Coturnix japonica: one gene and its partners. The protein of the gene in region 3 interacts with the protein of the main gene of each other region in a biochemical or structural test. Links are inferred from orthologs where the notes say so. Each region holds a gene or a part of one and is shown on either strand. Other genes may lie near its edges.

What was found. The genes of interacting proteins can lie anywhere in the genome.
Region 1: of the proteins of GSK3B (region 3) and EIF2B5, one has a biochemical effect on the other in vitro, tested with the Homo sapiens proteins (2 studies listed by BioGRID and IntAct). The link is inferred for Coturnix japonica from reciprocal best matches to the Homo sapiens genes GSK3B and EIF2B5.
Region 2: the proteins of GSK3B (region 3) and SREBF1 form a complex in vitro, tested with the Homo sapiens proteins (2 studies listed by BioGRID, with this or other methods). The link is inferred for Coturnix japonica from reciprocal best matches to the Homo sapiens genes GSK3B and SREBF1.

What each region holds. Positions count from the first base shown.
Region 1 is NC_029524.1:13,792,502-13,796,001, reverse strand, and holds part of EIF2B5 (translation initiation factor eIF-2B subunit epsilon), read right to left. Parts: intron 3,131-3,500; coding exon 3,040-3,130; intron 2,308-3,039; coding exon 2,184-2,307; intron 25-2,183; coding exon 1-24. UniProt on the Homo sapiens protein: Acts as a component of the translation initiation factor 2B (eIF2B) complex, which catalyzes the exchange of GDP for GTP on eukaryotic initiation factor 2 (eIF2) gamma subunit.
Region 2 is NC_029529.1:4,932,036-4,935,535, forward strand, and holds the end of SREBF1 (sterol regulatory element-binding protein 1), read right to left. Parts: coding exon 3,357-3,500; intron 3,102-3,356; coding exon 2,933-3,101; intron 2,858-2,932; coding exon 2,749-2,857; intron 2,667-2,748; coding exon 2,554-2,666; intron 2,422-2,553; coding exon 2,289-2,421; intron 2,195-2,288; coding exon 2,032-2,194; intron 1,776-2,031; coding exon 1,590-1,775; intron 1,420-1,589; coding exon 1,308-1,419; intron 1,115-1,307; coding exon 891-1,114; 3' UTR 148-890; downstream 1-147.
Region 3 is NC_029516.1:71,650,950-71,654,920, forward strand, and holds the start of GSK3B (glycogen synthase kinase-3 beta), read left to right. Parts: upstream 1-1,171; 5' UTR 1,172-1,396; coding exon 1,397-1,484; intron 1,485-3,971. UniProt on the Homo sapiens protein: Constitutively active protein kinase that acts as a negative regulator in the hormonal control of glucose homeostasis, Wnt signaling and regulation of transcription factors and microtubules, by phosphorylating and inactivating glycogen synthase (GYS1 or GYS2), EIF2B, CTNNB1/beta-catenin, APC, AXIN1, DPYSL2/CRMP2, JUN, NFATC1/NFATC, MAPT/TAU and MACF1.

The sequences.
Region 1 (3,500 bases), on a different chromosome or scaffold from region 3:
CAACGGGGTCCAGTTCTTCAACAGCTGCAGGGAGAAAGCACAGAAGTGTTCCTGAGCTATGAGATGGATCTGTGTGCTCAACCCAGCCTCTCAGCCGTGCTGTGCTGAGAAACTGGCCCAGAAAAGCATTTTACAAAACTCTTCAGTCAACCAGTTAATGCACTTGCCCTCCTCTGTCCATTAAACAGATGTCTGCTCACATGAGATATAATAACAAGACCTGGTTTTACCAAACAACCTTGAGAACATATTAGTGTTCTTGGTTTTGATTCCCTGACTGGAATACTGGATTATCACAATAAAGATGTTTAACTGAGACTTCACATCACCTCAGAGCAGACTAATACAGAGCGGTTTGTACATGCTCTCAAGCATCCCACCAAAAACCAGCTAATGTTTTAGTGGAACTTTCTTTTGAAGCAGAAGAACAAATAACAACAAAGAAGAAAAAGAGAGTGCCAAGAAAATTACCAGCTTCCATGTAAGCATTTTTCATTGTTACATCCATTTGTTCCCTGAATGCACGATCCCATGCTGTGTACCCTTGCATGATATTACAGAGAGGAAGGATCCCTACCAGAAACCTGAAGAGATGCACCATAGATGCTGGCTGCTGGGCAGTAGTGCAAACACCAGCCAGCTCAGCAATTACTAATACTCAGATTTGAGAAGCCCAAGCATGAGCTTGGTGAATTGCTACAATTGCCTCCCCTAGATCTTTTCAGACACCCTCACCTACATAACTTTACTTGATACTGCTTTGGTGACAACAGAAGCACAGCAACTTCAGCCACAGTCACCCAAGGTGTACCTACAGTCTGGGAAGGGTCATGTTTTCTGTACTTTCTCTGCTTTACAACATGTACAAGAGCCAAACAAGACAACTGGCATAACTTCAAATTGGGCAACTATATCTCAGACCTCTACACCTCACCTGAAAAATACCCACAGGCATATCCTTTACCTGATGGTCTTAAACTGTTGCAACACTGAGGAGCTTCATATTCAGGAGCCATACTGTGGTTTCAAGTCAAATCATACATCATAACTATGGCACTTCCACAATTTCCCCATCTGAGCTGTCTGAGACTGCTCCACCATTGCTATTGCACAAACAACCCACCTTCCTTTAACATCTCCTCACCAAAACTGAGCTACAAGGAGGGTAAGAAATGCGACTCAATTCACCAAAGCTCACTAGGCTTCCAATATTCGAGACTCTCACAATTCAAATATTCCCATCTCACACAAAATAACTTTGCCATACATAAGCCATTATAAGCAGATCTTAGCCTGATAGAACTACTGACTGAGGCCACTTTAGTTGCACAGCTACAAACTCCAGCTATGTTTTCACTATGCACTAACCCACACCAAGCCAGTGCTTGGGACTCTTAAGATGTAAGTATCAGTAACTTAAGGGACTGTACTTCTTACCAACTAAGCAACTGCAAGTTGTTCACTGCTCTAAGAACCTTGGTGGCCATTCTTTAAACAGGAGCTTTCGGAGACTGTGAGCCTCACGTCTATGCCTAGGAAGATTATGCAGCAGATCTTCCTGGAATTTAGGAGCATGTGAGATGTGCAAGTAACCAGAGACAGCCAGCACAGCTTCACCAAGGGCAGATCATGCCTGATCAGTCTGGTGGCCTTCTATGATGGAGTGACAGCATTGGTGGACAAAGAAAGGGCAACTGATGTCATATATTTGGACTTATGTAGGGCCTTTGACATGGTCCCACACTACTTCCTTATTTCTAAATTTTCCAGTGCTTTGGGAAAGAGCCTATTGGGAGACAAGAGCTCCCTGCTGCCCCAAGGAAAGGATTTAGGGTTGATTGGAATCTGGTTCCCGGAATGCAGCCCCATAAAGACAACTCTATCAGTCCCTCTCTGATCTCTTCTACAAATTACACATTCTACTATCACACAGAAGATAGGCAATAATCAGAGGTACTGAAGCAGAGCTCCTCACACCTGCAGTCTGAATAGAGTTCTATCAAGCAGGTACAAAAATGTCAGCTCATTTTTACTTCTTTAGAAGACAAAGAGGCTCACAAACCTGAGGAGTTCAAGTGGCTTCAGGCTTAAGAAAAAAGACTTATCAACCAGGAAGTACCTCAGGCAGACTCCTACACACCAGAAGACAAGCCCCAAGAAGAGTCAAATGGAGCAGCACTCACAGGAAGTAATGCTGAGAAATACTTCTGGGAGTCCAGGTTTGCATCCAGCTGATGTAATGGGAACTCCAGAATCACTTTACTGAGCACCTGCATCATCTCATTCAGACTGATGTTATATGCATACCTGCAAGGAAAAAGACAAAAGAAACCATCCAACAAACAATCCACAGAACCTTATCTTTGCAGATTACGGTTCCTCACAGAGACATAGTGGAAGACATAAGTCAAATCTTCTGCTCTTTGTTTTTTTCCAGGTTGTCACACTCCCCTCCTTCCCTCCCCGCCTTGTGTAAGACCAAAAGTCCTGAAAATCTGCTATCACAGAGGAACGAGCTGCAGCAGGGACAGCACCCTCATGTTTACTAGAGTGCTGTATGAATACTGTTGCGCAAAAGAAGGAAAACAGGTTCGTATTCAAGAAACATTAGGTAAAAGGCACTCTGATTATATGTTCCAGACTTGCTGCTGTATAAAGGCAGTAGACAAGCCACACCGCAGCAGTTTCAGCTGCAGGCAGCTGGTTGAGCGCTGCAATGCAAAGAGCTGCAGTTCCTACATGAACCTGCATGAAATCGGTGCTAAGAATTGGCTTGCTCTCTCTTTTGGTCCATAGTTACTAAACAGTAATTCCACCTCCTCCTACAGAAATGGGGCTAATAGAGCTTAATGACTGAGGAAGCTACAGATGCATTATGACTGAACGTTGGTGGGAGTTAATCTCTGATCTGCATTTCTCCTTCTGCAATAATCTATATGCAATAATTAAACGTGAATATCCATGTGATTTCTCCTCTTTCTCAATCTGCTGACAAACACAACTATTCAGAACACAGTATCTTCATAAGGGGACACTCACTTGAGAGAGTTGATTTCCAAGACTAGGTTATCACAGGAAATGTTTTCTTCTTCACCCCTCTGTAATGTACCCAGAACCTCATTCTGGAAAACTAATAGAAGAAAGGACAGGTAGTTCAACAGGTCAAGGAAAAACACATTCATTCACATGGTCTCAACAAAGGAAGTCTTCTGATACAGAAATCTATTTGCTCACCGTTTGTTTGCATAAATCCACATCAAGGATACTTTAAAATAGTGGCATAATTCAAATAAAGAAAAAGATCTGACAGGTATCATTGATCTAACCAGGCAAACCAGTACAAATCTATTCATCTTCGCAATCTTTTAGAGCAGTTTCTATTGTACGTTTACAATCAATCCTTTCCTATTCAGGAAAACCTCAAATTCCCTCACCTAAAGACATGAATTCAAAGCTAGAATTTATTAATTTCCTTCAGGCAGATTTTTGCAGGTGAAAAA
Region 2 (3,500 bases), on a different chromosome or scaffold from region 3:
CTACTGCAGCCAATGTCCCCATCCCTGCCACCCTTGCCCCCTTCCCCATCCTGTGCAGCCTCACGCTGGGGTGAAGGCAGAACCCATAGGTTATGTTCTGTGCCCCCCCTCCACGTGTCAGACCCCTCGCCCCCAGTCCAGCACACGACAGTATAAATAATTGGCTTTAATTCACTGTACAAAACTCTGCAGCTATGAAAATACCGTTTAAAAAGGCAAGGGAGGGGAGGGGGTAAGGGTGAGGTGGGGCACAGCGGGGAGCTATGTACAAAGTAGGGGCGCAGCAAGGGGACGGGGGCACCCACCAGTCTTCCACCTCCCAGTCCAGAGCCACCCCTTCTCCCAAAGCGCGTGGGGTTGGGGCTGCAGGGGGTACAGCTCTTAATGGGGGGAATGGGCAGTGCTAGGGGAGGGCAGGGGGGGCCCCTCTTTCCTACCACGGACACCATATGGTGCCATCTTAGCTGCCACCGCGGGGCAAACCCACCTGCCCTCCCCTAATGGGGACAGTGCTGAGGTGTCCCTCCCCTCCCCACTAACCCCGTGCTATGGGACCCACGGGGAGGGGCAGGGACACGCAGCAGAATGGGGTGAGGACGGCCCCAAACTTGCGCTGGGGTTTTGCAGGGGGGTGTCGGGCACTGGGAGGAGGCAGCTCAGTGCCGTGCAATACTGTGACAGTGTCACTAGAGGTCCCCACGTCCCGTCACCCAACTGTGCTGGGCACAGGGACAGAAGCCACCAGGGTGCCCCACACCGGGATGTACCCCCAGCACCCACAGCGGATGGTGACACGGCACCATGACACCATCCCATAGGGAGTCCCCACCACCCGTATTGCACGGAGCGGGGTGGGAGGGGGGACAGGTGGCAAGTGCCCACATCCCCCATTAGCCCGTGGTGACGGTGGTGCCGCTGCCCAGCTTGATGATCATCTGCTGGCAGTCGTGCAGTGTCCGACTGTCCCCCAGCTTCTCCAGCGAGCGGGCGGCCTCAGCCAACATCCCCACGCGCTGCCCGGGGGCCGAGAGGAAGCTGGGGGGCAGGTAGCAGCAGGCCAGCAGCAGCGCCTCGGCGTGCTCCCGCGGCGTGGGGTGGCTCTCCGGCTCTCCGGCTGCGGGGACAGAGAGAAGGGATGGACACTGAGCATCCCCCGTGTGCTGTGCTACATGTGGCACTTGGGGACACAGTGAGCACGGTGGTGATGAGTTAGACCACCCCAGAATGGATCCCTCGCCGAAACTACCCCCCACCCCCCAGCCCTATGGGGGTGCAGCTGGTGGGGTGTCCCTGCCCCCCTCACCCACCTGCCTTGCTGCCCTGCACCCCTCTCCTCCGCAGGCTGCGGTCCAGCAGCTGGTGGGTGCGCGTGGGGCTGGCACGGGCCATCAGCCGGGCAGTGGCTTCATGCAGGAACACCTGGAAAGGGAAGGATAGGACAGGATAGGACAGGATAGGATGGGATGGGATGGGACGGGATGGGATGGGATGGGATGGGATGGGATGGGGTGGGATGGGATGGGGTGGGATGGGGTGGGATGAGGAAGGCAGGTTGGAGTGCACTGTGCATGGGTTGCAAGGGGGCTCACCCTGCGCATGGCGGGCCGAAGGGTCTGTGCCAGGCGCCGCAGGCTGCTGAGGTCCTGCTGGAAGCCACGGAGCTCCAGGGCAGACGCCTGGTAGGTGCCACGCAGCTGCTGGCTGGCACTCATCTGCTGCTGCCACAGGTTGGTGCGAGTGACCAGGAGCAGGTCGCACAGTAAAAGCTGCACCGCCTGTGGGAAAGGGGTCAGATATGGGGGAGTGGGTGAGCAGAGGGTGGGCAGACGGATGGGGTGCGCCTCCAGGGCCCTCTCGGGCAGGCAGGCGCTGTGCGGGACCCCCGCCGGGCTGCATGGCAGGGGCATTGCACTCCCAGTCTGACACATGCAATGCAACTACAATGCACCCCCGCGAGGGCCAGGGACGCCTCCTGCGAGGGCCGGGCGCTCCCCCGAGCTGGGCTGCATGTTGTCCCCTCCCTGGCCTCACCTTGTCGATGGTGCACTTGGGGGGGCTGCACAACTCCAGGCTCTCTCGCAGGCAGCTGCTGGCCTTCTCACAGTGGCTCAGGCTGGCCTGGCTGCCGTCCTGCTTGCTCAACATGGCCCGGACCGCCTTGAAGGAGTGCAGTGCAGCACGGGGAAGGGGCTTCCTGCACAAGGACAGCGGGTTGCATCAAGTCACCCCACAAAGGAACAGACACGAGAAGCTGTCACCCAGCCAGCCCCACTGCCCCCAGCACTCACTCAGAGCTCTGCAGTGCCCGGGGCATGGCTTCCACCAGCGGGTAGAGCCGCTCAGCCCCCTCCTCATCATCCTTCAGCCAGTGAATGATGGTGCCGATGAGGGATGCCCACCACTTGGACACAGGATCGGTGCCTGCAGGGACAGAAGCACGGAACCATAGTGGTTGGTTGGAAGGGACTTCTGAAGACCATTCAACCCAACAGGATGGATCCCTGGAGCAGGTTCCATGGGGGAAGACCCCGTGGTTTGGGATGTTGGCCTCACCTGTCACTGCTGCCAGGCCGGAGCTGATGGAGGGCGTAGGGCCAGGCATGCTGCTGGCATGGGAGCAGCCATTGAGCAGCTGAAGGTACTCCAACGCATCCGAAAAGCGCCTTCTGGTAGAAGGGACGTGAGTGGGGCCATCCCCACCACAAGCAGAGGGAAGGGGAACCCCCCCAGTACCCACCCCACACTCACCCCTCTCCCTGGGCAGCAGGACGGCCGGGTTCAGGCATGGCCACGCAGTACAGTGCTTTCTCCAGGAGGTGCTCACGGAAGAGCTGGGTCACCTGCGCCAACGGGTCCACTGCGGCACAGAGCAGCTGTCAGCACCCACCCCACCATCAGCCACAAAGTGGGGCTCTGGGGCTCTGGGGGATACCTGGGTCACCGGCGGAGCTGTAGATGGTTTCCCTTGGGACGCCCTTGACGGCCCAGTCCCCGTCCACAAAGAAGCGGTGACCCAAGGGGTGGCAGAGCCACTGCATGGCGGGGGGCACAGCTCCACCATGGGACAGGGCCACGCGGCGGGCACTGCAGAGGAAGGGGCGCTGCAGGGAAAGCGAGGGTCAGTGGGAACTGGGAGGGCAGGGGGATGTGCAGCATTGGGCTACAGGGATGGGGCTGAGGACACTGATCCCATGGAGGCTGAGGGGGGCAGGATGTTGGGCCGCTGGAGGGAGATATGCCTGGGTAAGAGTCCATGATATAGGGACCCAAGGTGGGCAAGGAGGATGTGACACCAGGCTCTGCAAAGAGGACACCAGGAGGGGGACAGAGGGGACACCAAGGGGGGACAGACTCACAGCCAGGAAGTGGAAGCAGCGGTGCAGGCTGGCCTTGATGCGCAGCGCGGCCACCACGTAGATCTCAGCCAACGCAGCCACCGAGACGGCGTCGCCAGCGCACTCGGCGAGGTTGACAGCACTGAGTGCCAGGTTGATGGCCAG
Region 3 (3,971 bases):
TCTTCCTATTGGCCGCCCGACTGCGCTGCTAGGGCGGTGGCGGCGCCTTCCGATTGGGCCTCCGCCTGGCTTCGGGGGGATTCGGGTGCGTCCGTAAGGGCTTCGCGATTGGTTCCGATCCGTCACAGGCATTTCCGTAACCGCCTCGGGATTGGTCCCGACGACGCTCGGGTATTTCCGTCAGGGCCTCGGGCTGGGGGCTAACGAGTGCGTCGGGCGCTTCGGGTGGCTATTCACAGAAGGCGCCTAGGGCCGTTCCGCAGCGTAGGGCGGCGACGGGCATAGGCGGCTGCGCGGCTTTGGCGCACACACAGAGCGCAGCAGCGGGAGCCCGGCACGCAGCGGAGGCAGCAGCGGGGACAAAGGGAGCGACCAACAGAAACGGGGAGGGGGGCCCGGCGAGAGGCAGCCGGCGCCAGAAGGGAGCGGCGGGAAGCTTCAGCCGGGCGGACGGCTCCTCATGCGCCTCGGACGCCCGGGGAAGCAACAGCGAGAGCCGCCGGCGCTCTGAAGCCGGCTGAGGACGAGCTGGGAGCCAACGCCGCCGCCATGGCCCGCACCGCCGCCGCCGGCCACCGCCCGCACTGCAGCCTGCCCAGCGTGAGCCGCCGCCAGCTGCCCCTGCGGGAGCAATGAGGAGCCGCGCCGGAGCCGCCTCAGCGCCGCACTGAGAGCACACACACACACACACTGCGAGCCAGCCGGGCACACCGCGCCGCTTCACACCGCTCCGCCCGCCGCGGATCCCGCCGCCGCCGCCGGATCCCGTTGCGCGGGGCCGCATCGCCTCCCGTCGGCGGATCCAGCAGCTCCGAGATCCCTCCGCCGGGGGAAAAGTAGTCCCGCCGCCTCCCTCCCTCAGTGGCGAAGGGGGAAGGAGAGGAGAGGGCAGGAGGCAGAGAGAGGAAGGAGGCGAGGAGAAAAAGAAAAGAGAGAGAGAAAAAAAAAGAAAAAAGGCAAAAGACATAAAGGGGAAAAGGAGAAGAGAGAAGCCGAGCGGCAGGATCGGAGGAGCCGGGCCGCGAGCCTCCGCCCCATGTGACTGGGCTGAGGGTGGGGGCAGCGAGGCCTAGCACCGAGCACAGCCCCGCTGCTCGCGGCCGGCCCGGGGGGCTGCGGCTGGGAGGAGGCGGCTCTCGGACCCACCGGCACTGCGGGAGGATGGCGCTGTGAGCGCCGGGAGGAGCGAGGCCGGAGAAGAAAGGAGACGCGAGGAAAGGCCGGCGGGGAGAGCGAGAGGGGAGGGGGCTTCCCCGGGGGGGAAGGGGCCGGCGGTTCATGTGGCACAGCTCGCCCTTCGCCTCCCGCTGAGCCCGCAGCACACAGCCCCGCGAGCAGCCCCGAGGAGAGCGGAGGAGGCGGACAGCCCGACGGGACGCAGCCGGAGCCGGAGACCATGTCCGGGCGGCCCAGGACCACCTCCTTCGCGGAGAGCTGCAAGCCGGTGCAGCAGCCCTCGGCCTTCGGCAGCATGAAAGTCAGCCGTGAGTATCGGGCCGTTCCCTGCCGCCCTCCTGCCCTGCCTCGCGTTCGTCTCGGGTGGGCCGCGAGCTCGGCCGGGCCTGCGGGGGACACAAAAAGGCCGCTCCCGGCCCTGCCCTCGGCCCCTGCCGGCCGTGCCGTTTCGCCTCCGCGGGGGGCTCCTCGGGGTTACCAGCACCCCTGTTCTGCCTCCTGCCTCGGGGAGGAGGGGATGAATGACGGGCACGCGGGTACGGCCGTGACATTGGTCCCAATGAGGTGTTTTGTGCCCTCTGAAGGAGGGAGATGGAAGAGGTGGGGGGGGAGCTCTGTATCAGGTGTGGGAAGCCCACGGCCCGGCCTATTAAAGGCGGAAGAAAACGGGGGGCTATTACAAAGGCCGTCCGAGGGGGTTACAAAGGGTGTATCATACGCTGCTAATGATCCCCAACGGGAGGGAGGAAGAAAATCCTCATTGTGGCTTGCGAGTGGTTGTTTCGAGCTGCCTTGCCCAGGTTTTCTCAACGGGGATATTTTGAAGAACGAGGCCTGTGCTTTATTCCACACGGGCATGCTGGAAATGATCGGTGCTTGATGGGTGCCCACCCTTTGCATTGCAGCTGGTGGGCTCGGCCACACTATATGAATGGAGAATGGGCATTGCTTCTCGGTACGACCAGAGAAAGGCCCAGCTGCGGGTCACCTACAATGAACTATATCTCTTGAATGGCAAATAATTCCTGAAGGTTTCTTTGAATACGTGCCTATTAACAGTCAGATCATTGCCGATTCATGCTACGGGCTTTGTTTTCAGTAATATTCCCCCCTTTTTTTTTTCCCCTATGGAAATGGAGGGCTGGGTCTTTATGGGACCTGGAGCGCTTGATGGGCGTTAAGGTTTGATTGATCCGTTTGATATCCCGTGTGGTCACACCTGGCACTGCTGTGTGCGGGTTTGGTTCTTGGTGTTGGAGGCTTTTCAAGCCGGGGCTCTGCCCGGCTGGGGGTTTTTTGACAGATGAGAGAAATTCTGACGTTTTTCTGCATCAAAATGTACTTCCGCTGCGGTTGAAGCCTTGAGGAGAATATTGGGCTGAGGTTCTGGAGCTGCTGCTTTGTATCTGCATGATCAGGGTGCCTGCTGCACTCCGAGTGCCCTTTATACTCTTATATGCTGCTAAAACGGGTTGTGTTTGATCTGGTTCAAATGTATTAAAGATCTTAATTCACACGGGGGGGGAGGGGGGAAGGGGGAATATTTAAGACTCCATTTTAATGTATCGATTTATTTCACGTGAGCGTGGAATAGGAAGCAGGTTTTGTCGCTGGGTATTTCTGCAGGTGGCTGTTTAACGCTATAGCCACACTTAGCCCTGCCACGCTCCAAAGCTAAATTTGCCTTATTCGAGCTGTACGGCTCGATTCTTGAAAGGTCATTGATGCTCCTTTCCTGTTTGTTTGAGGTCAGAAACCAGACAGATGCTCGCCTTCGAAGCGGGTGCTAAGTGATGCAGACTAACAAGTTTGCAAATACGATTTGATCCCAAGTGTGGAACACGGAGGGAGAAACAAAGGCCGTAGCATAAAGCACACGCACTTGTGATAACCCCCCCCCCCAGCCCCTCCTCCCCAGTCGCTCTAGTCATGTGCTCCTGGTCCTTCTGCTGTCTGGAAAAAAATGTCAGAACAAAGCAAGAGAACCGCATGCAAGGACTGTGTGGGAAAGGCAGGCGTATTTTTCACTTAATCTATCCGTGTAAGACAGTGCAGGAAGTTTCGACTTCTTATTTTCCTTTGTAAGAGAGCAGCGCCACTGATTGCCAGAAAGGGTGATATTTTACTGGTTCTCTTGAGATTGTGAAGCAGATGGAAATGGATGGATTGCTGCTCTTTGAGTCCTGTAGGCAGCTGTTGTATCCCCATCTTGATTCAGACCTTCTCCAGGTCACCAGGAAGCAAAGCCTATCCTCTATGCCAGCCTTTTTGCTCGCCTTTGTAAGGCTGGGGTGGTGGTGAAATGAGGTGGTGAGGTCACGCTTGCTTTGGTGACCACCTTCTAGCTGATCCCGGCAGTAGTTCCATTCCTTTGAAAGGATTCAAAGGACGAGGTGGAAGCATTGAGGAAGGAATGGAGGAGGGTGTGTTGGACCTTGTGTTAGAGAGCTGGAGTGTGGTGATTGCTCTTCTGCTCAGGATATGGCAGGCTTAGGCCCTGGAACAGGCTGCCCAGTGAGGTTGTGGATGCCCCGTCCTTGGAGGTGTTCAAGGCCAGGTTGGACGGGGCCCTGGGCAACCTGATCTAGTAAAGGTGTATGTTTGGTGGCCCTGCCAGGCAGGGGGGTTGGAACTACATGATCCTTGAGGTCCCTTCCAACCCGGCTCATTCTGTGATTCTGTGAAAGGGGGGAGTGGCCATTGACTTTTCCATCTTTTTAGACTTTGTGCTCGGAAGTTGTTGAGAAGCTTGAGCCTTGAATGGAAGGGGATTCCCATCAGGGTCTTGTCCTCTG